Macaca fascicularis: one gene and its partner. The protein of the gene in region 1 binds, or shares a complex with, the protein of each later gene. Links are inferred from orthologs where the notes say so. Each region holds a gene or a part of one and is shown on either strand. Other genes may lie near its edges.

What was found.
Region 2: the proteins of SPTLC2 (region 1) and ORMDL3 are in contact, whole or in part, in a cryo-EM structure (PDB 7K0O), measured with the Homo sapiens proteins. The link is inferred for Macaca fascicularis from reciprocal best matches to the Homo sapiens genes SPTLC2 and ORMDL3. Residues at the interface, in NP_004854.1 of Homo sapiens: Glu65, Thr66, Pro67, Met68, Ala71, Val72, Tyr75, Tyr86, Gln116, Phe118, Glu119, Asn120, Phe121, Tyr122, Tyr127, Trp134, Asp259, Glu260, Leu261, Asn262, Val267, Arg271, Ile279, Met320, Val495, Val496, Gly497, Phe498, Pro499, Ala500; in NP_001307730.1 of Homo sapiens: Met1, Asn2, Val3, Gly4, Thr5, Ala6, His7, Ser8, Pro12, Val16, Ser19, Arg20, Gly21, Ile22, Leu24, Ser25, Leu28, Phe63, Val67, Lys68, Gly69, Thr70, Pro71, Phe72, Glu73, Pro75, Gln77, Arg81.

What each region holds. Positions count from the first base shown.
Region 1 is NC_088381.1:145,569,218-145,573,704, reverse strand, and holds the start of SPTLC2 (serine palmitoyltransferase 2), read left to right. Parts: upstream 1-1,513; 5' UTR 1,514-1,720; coding exon 1,721-1,846; intron 1,847-4,487. UniProt on the Homo sapiens protein: Component of the serine palmitoyltransferase multisubunit enzyme (SPT) that catalyzes the initial and rate-limiting step in sphingolipid biosynthesis by condensing L-serine and activated acyl-CoA (most commonly palmitoyl-CoA) to form long-chain bases.
Region 2 is NC_088390.1:60,986,723-60,991,254, reverse strand, and holds the start of ORMDL3 (ORM1-like protein 3), read left to right. Parts: upstream 1-1,642; 5' UTR 1,643-1,745; coding exon 1,746-1,911; intron 1,912-1,953; exon of another isoform or gene 1,954-2,123; intron 2,124-4,532. UniProt on the Homo sapiens protein: Plays an essential role in the homeostatic regulation of sphingolipid de novo biosynthesis by modulating the activity of the serine palmitoyltransferase (SPT) in response to ceramide levels.

The DNA of each region.
Region 1 (4,487 bases):
TCAGTTAAATCCCTTAGCCTTGCTTCCATCCAGATTCCTGCTCTGAAAACTTTCTACATGGTTAGACTCATCACTGCCATTCAGCTTCCCTCATCAGAACTCCTGTTGCCAAATCTCTCCAGCCCTAGGTTGGTCTTTAACTGTTGTTTTCTTGTCTCTCACTGAAATGTAAGCTCCATGAAGCACAGCCACATGCTTCTTTTTTAGCCTTATACACTCAGACGTATATTCACTTTAGGATCAATAGTGTTTGTCAACTCAAATAGGGTGTGTGGGATGCATGATCCCACCTTCTGTTAGATTATTCAGCTCCTAAGTCATGCAAAACCGATACCTTGTGGACCTCCTTTCTAAAGCTCCTGCAGGGTGGGGGAAGAATGCACGGATTCTCATAGGTGCATTTAGCAATTACTAGTAACCAGCACTTAATGAATGCTTACTAATTGCTAGGTCCTGTACAAAATACATTACATACATAAACTTATTCAATCTTCATGACAACTATTATTATCCCCACTGAACAGATGAAGACACATAGAGGTCACTCAGCTAGTAAGTAGCGCAGCTAGGATTTAAAACCCAGACCGACTCCAGAGTCCATCCTCTTAATTATGACACTAAATTCTTTATGGGTAACAGAAAGCCTCTAATTGTAATGTAGATCAATTTCTTTGCTTTCTAACCCAATGGGAAGATGCAACTAAAAGGGTGAGAAAATATTTATTATACTCCTACTATGAGTCAAGTATTATAAGAGGTGCATAATGGGTTAATGATATAATTCTTGCAATAAGTCTAGGAAGCAGGAAGTATTAACTCCGTTTTAAAGAATTTGGCTTCTAAAGTGGTTAAATACAGTGCTCAAGTTTTAGCTTCCAGTTATGGGCAGAGCTGGAATTAGACCAGGTTTTCTAACTTTGAAGGAAAGACTTTAAAGGAGACTGTATGGAAAACCCTGCCAAGGGCAAATGTGAAGGGCACGTGAAAAGACATCTGAATTATTACTTATAATAATTCAGAAATAGTCAATGTGTGGCGCATATTGAAGAATGGTGAGAGATTGTCAAAAAATCTATTCTGTAAATACTCACAGAGGAATAAGCTAATTAAATACGGGAGCTGCGGGTCTTGGGCTAGGACATAAAGCCCAGAACTTCCCGTGAGGCAAAGGAACCGACTGCGCCACCTGTCCTGGAGAACCTGGGAACCCGCTCTAGAGACTTGGGCTCAGCCCCTTTTCTTTCCTCACACTCTAATTGGCTACTTTTCCCTGGGCTCCGCCTCCTTCTCTGTCTGGACCATTAAACAGGCAAGCCCTACCCAGGACCTGGAAGCGGCCTCCAATCAAGTGCCAGGCCCTGGAATCCCTCTAGAGAAGCCCCCTCTCCGGCGAGGCGCTTTGCTCTCGTCCGTGATTGGCCAGGCGCAGCATGGGGTCCGCCTCCTTCTCTTCCAGATAGGTCAGCGGTCTTCAGGACCACATCCCTTTCGGCCGGTCCCTGCCGCTCTTTCCCTTCGCTGCGTGGCCTTGGGCGAGCCCGGTCCTCTGCGGAGAGCGCCCCGCCCTCTGTGAAGGCCCGCCCGGGAATTGGCGGCGGCGCTGCAGCCATTTCCGGTTTCGGGGAGGTGGGTGGGGTGCGGAGCGGGACTTGGAGCCGCCGCCGCTGCTGCCGCTGCCGCCGCCCACAGAGCCTGCCTTGCGCCTGGTGCTGCCAGGAAGATGCGGCCGGGGCCCGGAGGCTGCTGCTGTCGCCGCACGGTGCGGGCGAATGGCTGCGTGGCGAACGGGGAAGTACGGAACGGGTACGTGAGGACCAGCGCCGCAGCCGCAGCCGCCGCCAGCCAGGTACGAGGGGCCCGCGCGGCGGGGCCGGGGTGGCGGTGCGGGCTGGCGGAGGGGCGGCCGGGCAGGGCGAGGTCTCCTGGCCATCCGCTGGGCAATCCGCCGGGTGGGCGCCGCTCGCAGGTGTGGGCGGCAGTGTCCGGCCGCTGGCCCGACCTCCACGAGCATAGAGGCTCAAGGACGACTCGGGGGCTCCTCCACGTCCCCGCGCCTGGAGGTCTTCCTCCCTTCCCCCCGGAGCTCTGGGTTCTGCTCAGAGCCCCGGGTACCTTTCTCTGACCCATCCTGCCAGAAGTGTATGCCACCCCCAGGGGAAGCAATGAGGGACCCCTCGGACCCCAGTGGGAGCCACCCAAGGGCTCCCGAGGGTCCCTTCAAACCCCCGAGGTTGTTGCTTCTTCTTAAAGTCCTGCAGCCTTCCAAAGAAAACCACCCATGGGGTCCTTAAGAGGCAAAGAAAGTTAGGCGGTGGTGTCAGATGGAAACACACCCAGCCTCTCCCAACCACATTCTGGAGTACCACGTTCGCTCCCCAAGCAGGACATTGGTCCGTAGATCTGGCAGGGAATCCAAGCTGGTCCCTCGAAAGCATTATTCTCTTAACTCTGCCCGTGGTGTGACTCTACCCCAGGCTCCAGATTGAATTGGGTGGCCCTTTCGACCCTTTTCTGAACACGAGTGCTATCACACAAGGGGATTGTTTAGCTTGGTGGTGACTTGCGATGACTCTGTACTAATTAACCATGCTGAATCATCAACCAAGTTCAGGCAGTTCTAAAATATTTTGAAAAGTTCTAAATTCAAGACAGTGCTTATTATCAACCTTACAGTGCTCTAGACTGACAAGTATTCTGTTGAAATGTGTTTTTAAAGATGAGCTGGTTAAAAAGATGCAAGATCGGTGTTCCTGGAAGAGAGTGTTGGGATAATTTCCAGTTGACTTTAATACGTTTAAGTCTTGTACAGATACTCAGGAACATTTAGAAAGTACCCTGTTCCCCTTTAGCAGGAGTGTGATAGGATGGTGATCTTCATTTGGCTTTAACAGAAATATCTGGCAGGCTCCACCCGAGATGAATAGTTATGATGGATAGATCTGTTACTGTTTGGTGTGAAGCAGAAAATAATGCATTTTTCCAGGTCATGTGAGATATTGAGACTGAGAGTTGAGGGGAAAAATAAGTAAAACAGACTTGACCTCCCCTGAAGTTGTAAGTTGTCAAAGCGAAGTAATACACAGATCAAAAGATTTGTTTTCACTTTTAAAGAAATAATTGTGTGAGGGAGGAAGTGATAACAATGAGCTCATTATAAGCAGTGGAATGGTTTGTTGTTTTTCTAGCAATGTAAACGACTTATAAGACAAAATTGTTGTGATATAGAATGTAATAGGGAAATTTAACGGGTAGGAGTTAGAAAATACATTGTAGGTGAATGAGTGAGGTATGATTTTTTTTTTTTTTTTTTTTTGAGATGGAATTTCGCTCTTGTCGCCCAGGCTGGGGTGCAGTGGCGCGATCTCGGTTCACTGCAGCCTCCACCCCGTGGGTTCCAGCGATTCTCCTGCCTCAGCCTCCCGAGTAGCTGGTATTACAGGCGCCCGTCACCACGCCCGGCTAATTTTTGTATTTTTAGTAGAGACCATGTTGGCCAGGCTGATCTGGAACTCCTGACCTCAGGTGATCCGCCTGCCTTGGCCTCTGAAAGTGCTGGGATTACAGGCGCGCCCGGCCGAGGTATGATTTTTTTTTTTTTTTTTTTTAATGAAAAAGGAAGTCAAGAGAGGTGTTCACCCTTCAGAGGTGCTTTGTGTTAAAATGCTGCTTTCAATCCCTGTGAGTTATGTTCTGATTTAGTAGGAAATCAAGGACCTTTCTCCCATAATCTCTAACAATTTAGCATTTGTAGAATGATATTTCTTCAGAGCTTGTCAACTAATAAGGTGAATAAATATCAAGGTACTAACATGACATTTTAAAATCTGTATAAATAACATTTGGTTGACTTTTGGGGACATGCTTTATAAAAGTTTCACTCAAGGCACATTGGTGGCATTTAAAAGAATGGTCTGTTGGAATGCTGTGAGGGCTGCAGTATCCCTTCTAGAAAACTTACTTCTCACCAGTATTTTTTAAACAGACTTCAGATCTGGAGCTTTCTACACTCTCAGATGGAGGAATATTGTCTGTGAATTTTTTTCTTTCTTTTTTTATACAAAAGAGAGATCTTGGTAACTACATGAGAGCTATACAATATCTTAACATTTTTTAAAAGTTGTTTTCATTTTAATTAAAGCGATGTGCCTGTGCTCCAACCTCTACCTGTCTTTCCCATTTTTCTGAGGGAAATGTTGCCAACTGTGCCATCAAAAATACGCAAACAGCTGTGTGTCATGCTTTTACTAGAATATGAATTTAGAGTATAAGATGGTTGAGATGTAAATTATTTTCCTCCCATCTCCCATGTCTTTTAATGAACAGGAGAGAAGTCAGAAACGTCTAAGATCAGTTTACACTCTGGAGTATGTTTCTATGCTTGAAGGCATGAATGAATGTATATAGTAAAAGAACAACTCTTGGATTTGGGTTTAGAATTTGATTAGCTAGATGCTGTGTTAAGGAGTTATGAAACAATCAGACATTGC
Region 2 (4,532 bases), on another chromosome or scaffold:
CCTGGAAATATTCAAGAAGCTGCCTGTTCTGCTCTGGGTGGTTCAAATACCCACCTGCCTGGTGACCACCAAGTGTCTCTGGGGGTCCCACTCCAGCTGTGTGACAACTGTTTCCCGGCAGCTCCCTGGGGAAGGAAGGGTAGGTGGAGTCCGAGTGAAGTGCTCCCCAGTTTCCCTGGGCTAGCCTTTTCCTTCATGTTCCCTCACTTTCAGTTCAGGGTGCCATGAACTGCCATTCAGAGTCAGGTTGGCATGCCATGACATCATCTGATCTTGATATTCCAGCCCTGCCCTGCACAGAGTGGACTTAGAAAGAAGCTGGGTAGGGAGTTGAAACTACTCAGACAAGGCCTCTTGGTGACATGGAGAATGGGAGTCACCGAGGAGACCTCAAGAGCAACCTCCTAAAGTAATATTAAGTAGATTCATACAATGCAACAGGTGCTTTACATACATTTTTTTGGGTTCCCACAACATTGGAGGTGGGGTTTCGCAGGTGTGGAATTGGAGATTAAGACAAGTAATTTGCCCAAGGTCACATTGCCAATAAAGGAGGGCCTGCCCTATGTCTACCAGGCAGTAAAGTCTGTGCCCTTGCCTTTAGACGATGCAGATGTGAAAACTGTAGACCAGAACCTCTCATTCAAAGCCACACAAGCTGACCTGAGACAGAAACTCAGGCTCCTTACTACTGATCAAGGAATCTATGATACGTGGCTTCTTCTCACGTCAGGTGCAGGGAGGCCAAGGAAGTGGCCCGGTCCGGGGCAGCCTGGGCCAAGAGTGACTGAGAAGGAGAAGGCAGGCTCCGTTCTGGGCCCTCCAGACCCTCACCCCAGCCAATGTTGTGAAAAACGCGCTCCCAGGAGGGCCCAGCAGGGCAAAGGGCCAGGCTAGTCTGTTTCTGGAGGAGCCAATCTGGGGCCGGGGCGGAGGCAGCCAGGTGCAGTGGAAAAACCCTGTACTTGGGGTCAGAATATCTGGGTTTCGATCCAGTCTGGGACCCAGCAAAGACCTACAGCAAGTTACTTACAAGTCCGAGTCTCCTCATCTGCAAAACTGGGGCACAGATAAAATACACTTGAAGGGCACAGGAGCAAAAGTTGGAATTGTTACGCACCAAAATTCTATCATCCGATCTGACCACGTCACGGTGCAACTTCCAACCGCGCGTCCCCGGAGAGTCCGGGAACGGAGCCCAGGAAAAACTACAACTCCCAGGAGCGTCGGGCGGGCCGGCCAGGAACCAGCAGAGGAAACTACAACTCCCAGGAGGCGTCGGGCGTGCCGGCGCGGGGCGGTGACGTCGCGGGGGCCGGCGCGGAGCGCTGATTCGGCCGGAGCTGCCAGCGGGGAGGCTGCCGCCGCGGGTTGTTACAGCTGCTGGAGCAGCAGCGGACCCCGCTCCCGGGAACCGTTCCCGGGCCCTCGATATCCGGCCCCGCACGGTGAGCCCAGACGGAACCAGGAGGCCCCAGGGCTAGGGGAGGGGCGGGAGAGAAGGTAGGAGCTGCTGGGGAGGCGCCCCGGGCTGGATAGACGGGGGCAGAGAGAGTGGGGGGTGGAGGGAGTGCATCAGCCGAGGGGGTGCAGCGGCTGGGGAGGTGGCCAAGGAATAAAGTGCGAGCTGGAGGCCGGGGTTGGAACGTCGGGAGGAGCGCCTCGGCTAGGGGTGGGAGGCGGGGAGCGGCTGGGCTTCTGGGATAAACGTTTGGCTGCTTCCAGGGCTGGGTGAACGCGTGGAGATGGCTGTGGGGTCCCGGACCTGGCCGGGTTCCGAGTGCCAGGACCCAGACTGGGCAACAGAGCGGGACCCCTCCCCCCGGCCCCGCGCCCGAGGTCTCACTCAGAAAACCCCAACAACAGTGAGGACTCCGCCTCTTCGCTCCTCCTCTCCTCTGCTTACTGCGGGTTCGCCTGGGCACTCGCTTTCCGCTCCCACCGCCCTCCCCCAGTCGGGGTGGCTGGGCCAAAGTTGAGATGTGATCAGCCGTGGTCCTGCAGCTTGGGGGGTGGGCGGAATGGAAGTGGCATCGTGACGTGCTGCCGCGGACTCCCCTTTGGGGTCCCCATCCAGGCCCGGATGTTTTGTGCTCCTCTTCCAAGACAGGGGGTTTGCTGTTGTGAGGGCTGCTCTTTCCTGGGGGAGGGAATGGGAAGGGCTCACCTGGTGGCTGCCCTGGTGGTGCTCAGCCTTGGCTTGAGTGTCTGGCATACTGGCTGGGCCCGAATATTTGTGCGTGGAGCCAAGCGGGTGGGGAGGGAAGAAGGGGGAAAGAGCTACCAGCAAAAAAGTGGTTAACAGAACAGAGTTGCTGCAGGCTCTGGTTTGAGGCAGGTTATGAAACCACATCAGGGCCCGGCACTAAGCAGCCACCTGCCAGCTGTGGCAGCAGAAGATTTTAGCTCAGCTCCTGTAGACCTAGTCGACCTGTGCCAGCCTCTTCTCTCTGTTTCTCCCCATCTAGGGGAGGGGTCGGTTGGTTGGTTTACTAATGGAAGTGATATGTGCCTGTAGTCACACGAAAGTCTCAAGAGTGTTTCCTGGCTGCCAGTCTTTTTGTTAGTTTATTGATCTCTTCTTTTTCAGGGGTGTCTGGTGGTTTCCTGCTCTCAGGGTACCTAGTGTTTAGGCTTCAGGAAGAAGCTTTCGGGGGTGTCGGCTGGGACCCAGGTCTAGTCTTTTCCTAGGCTCATCGAGTTTTGTTGGCTGCCCTGTGAAAGCCAGAAAGGGGTATGGGGTCCTGTGGTCTGGGATTCCACGAGGCTTTTGGCACTCTTGGACAACTACTAGGAAGGGTTAGTGGGCTTTCTACACCAGCACCTCTGTAGGTGCGGGTTACAGAGAGGTGATGGGGTGGCGGTTTCAGGTCAGACTTGGGACGCTGTTTCCCTCTCCTTAGAGGTAAGTCCTTCAGAGCCCTCACTTCTCAGCCACATGCCACCCTCTCGTCTCAGGTGGAGGCTTTTGCGTAGTAGCTGTCCCAGGGGCTGCTAGAGTAGCTGAAGCCCCAAGGCCCTGGGAAGATAAACAGTGGGAGCCAGCTCTGGCTTTCTAGATGCTAGGATTTCTGTTAGGCTCCATTATCCAGCCTCATGGGCTGCACTGATGGGTCCCAGGAGCATCACTGCAATCAGAGTGCGCCCCAGGCTGGCGCACAGGTGTTTGCTTGTTGGGATGGTGTGTTGTGGGTCACGTTTGCCCTGAGGTCTCTAAGCTTGGAGCTGTCTGAGAAGAGGAAACTTGCTCCTCTTATCCTGGAAGTAAAGAACTGGCCCCTGAGGATTCAGGCTCCTGTGCAGGTTTGGCTAGTTCCTAGTCAGAAGTAGATAGCATGTGGGTCTGAGGGGGTTGCTGCAGGGGCGTGAGACAGGTGGCCTTCCGGGTACTTCTAGAATATCTCTATCTGGGAGTCTTCTCTGCATTCCCAGGAAAGATGGGGCTGTTAACATGGTGATGATCTTATGGTCTTTAGCAAGCAGGACCCTACCTCAGATAGGGAGGTGAGCCAGTACACAGGTGCCATCCGTCTCCGCTTTCTCCTGGTCACAGGGCCCTCAGGGATCTGGGGACAGCCAAGCTCTGGACAAGGGGCAGATCATTCCACCCCTTCCTTCTCTACTTCCCTCTGCTCACTGTGGGTTGCGGCCACCTCCTGGCTCCTCCTGCTGCAGGACTCCCACCGTTGGTGCTGGGCAGGGGAAGGCATGGTGCTAATGTACACCTGGAAACAGGTGCTGAGAGGGGAGGCTGAGGTGAGGATGGGCAGGACAGAGAAGAACGGGGCCAGGAGGAAGACCACAGGTTCGAGTCTGTGCCCTTGGGAGACATATGTTGATGTGGGTTCCAGCGCTCTGTGGGAGTTATAGGTGTTGGCCACATTCTCTATCCTCGCCTCTCTTGTGGGGAAAAGGACCCTGGTGGTTTGGCAGCGGAGTGGGTGGCAGCACAAGGGTTGGCCTGAGTGGCTGCCAAATGGAGAAGACATCCAGATGGGTTATTTTGTGTCACCCAGGAGGGGTGCCTTCCAGGTCCGGGCAAAGGTTGTCGCTAGTCTGTTGTTTTCTTCTATCTTCCTCCCTCCCCACTTCCCTCTTTGTACCTGATCAGTCCTCCTAAGTTGGGGTTTGGGGAGATCCAGAATTGAAAAAATTAGAGGAGGTGAGTGGATGCAGTGACCTCAAAATAGTTCGTCCACTGCTGCCTGTACCCACAGGCCTCACTTCTTTCCCTCCTGATGGGAAGGGCTTAAGAGTGGATGTCCCACATCAGGCCCTCAGTGAGACACAGTCCAGCAGGGGTTGTGCTGAGTGAGAATTCTGTCTCTGGGGCTTTGTCGGCAGAGGGTCCTCATGGGAGTGCCATAGGGGGTGAGGCTGGGGGATGGGCCTTGACTTCTCTGCTCTGGGCTGCATGCCTCTTGATGACCTGTCCTCCAATGCCCTGCCAGGGCCCTGTCCCAATGGGATAATGCGTGGGGCAGCCTGCTGTTTATCCCAGCCCAGCAGCAGGAAATGAGTAGAGCTAAGTC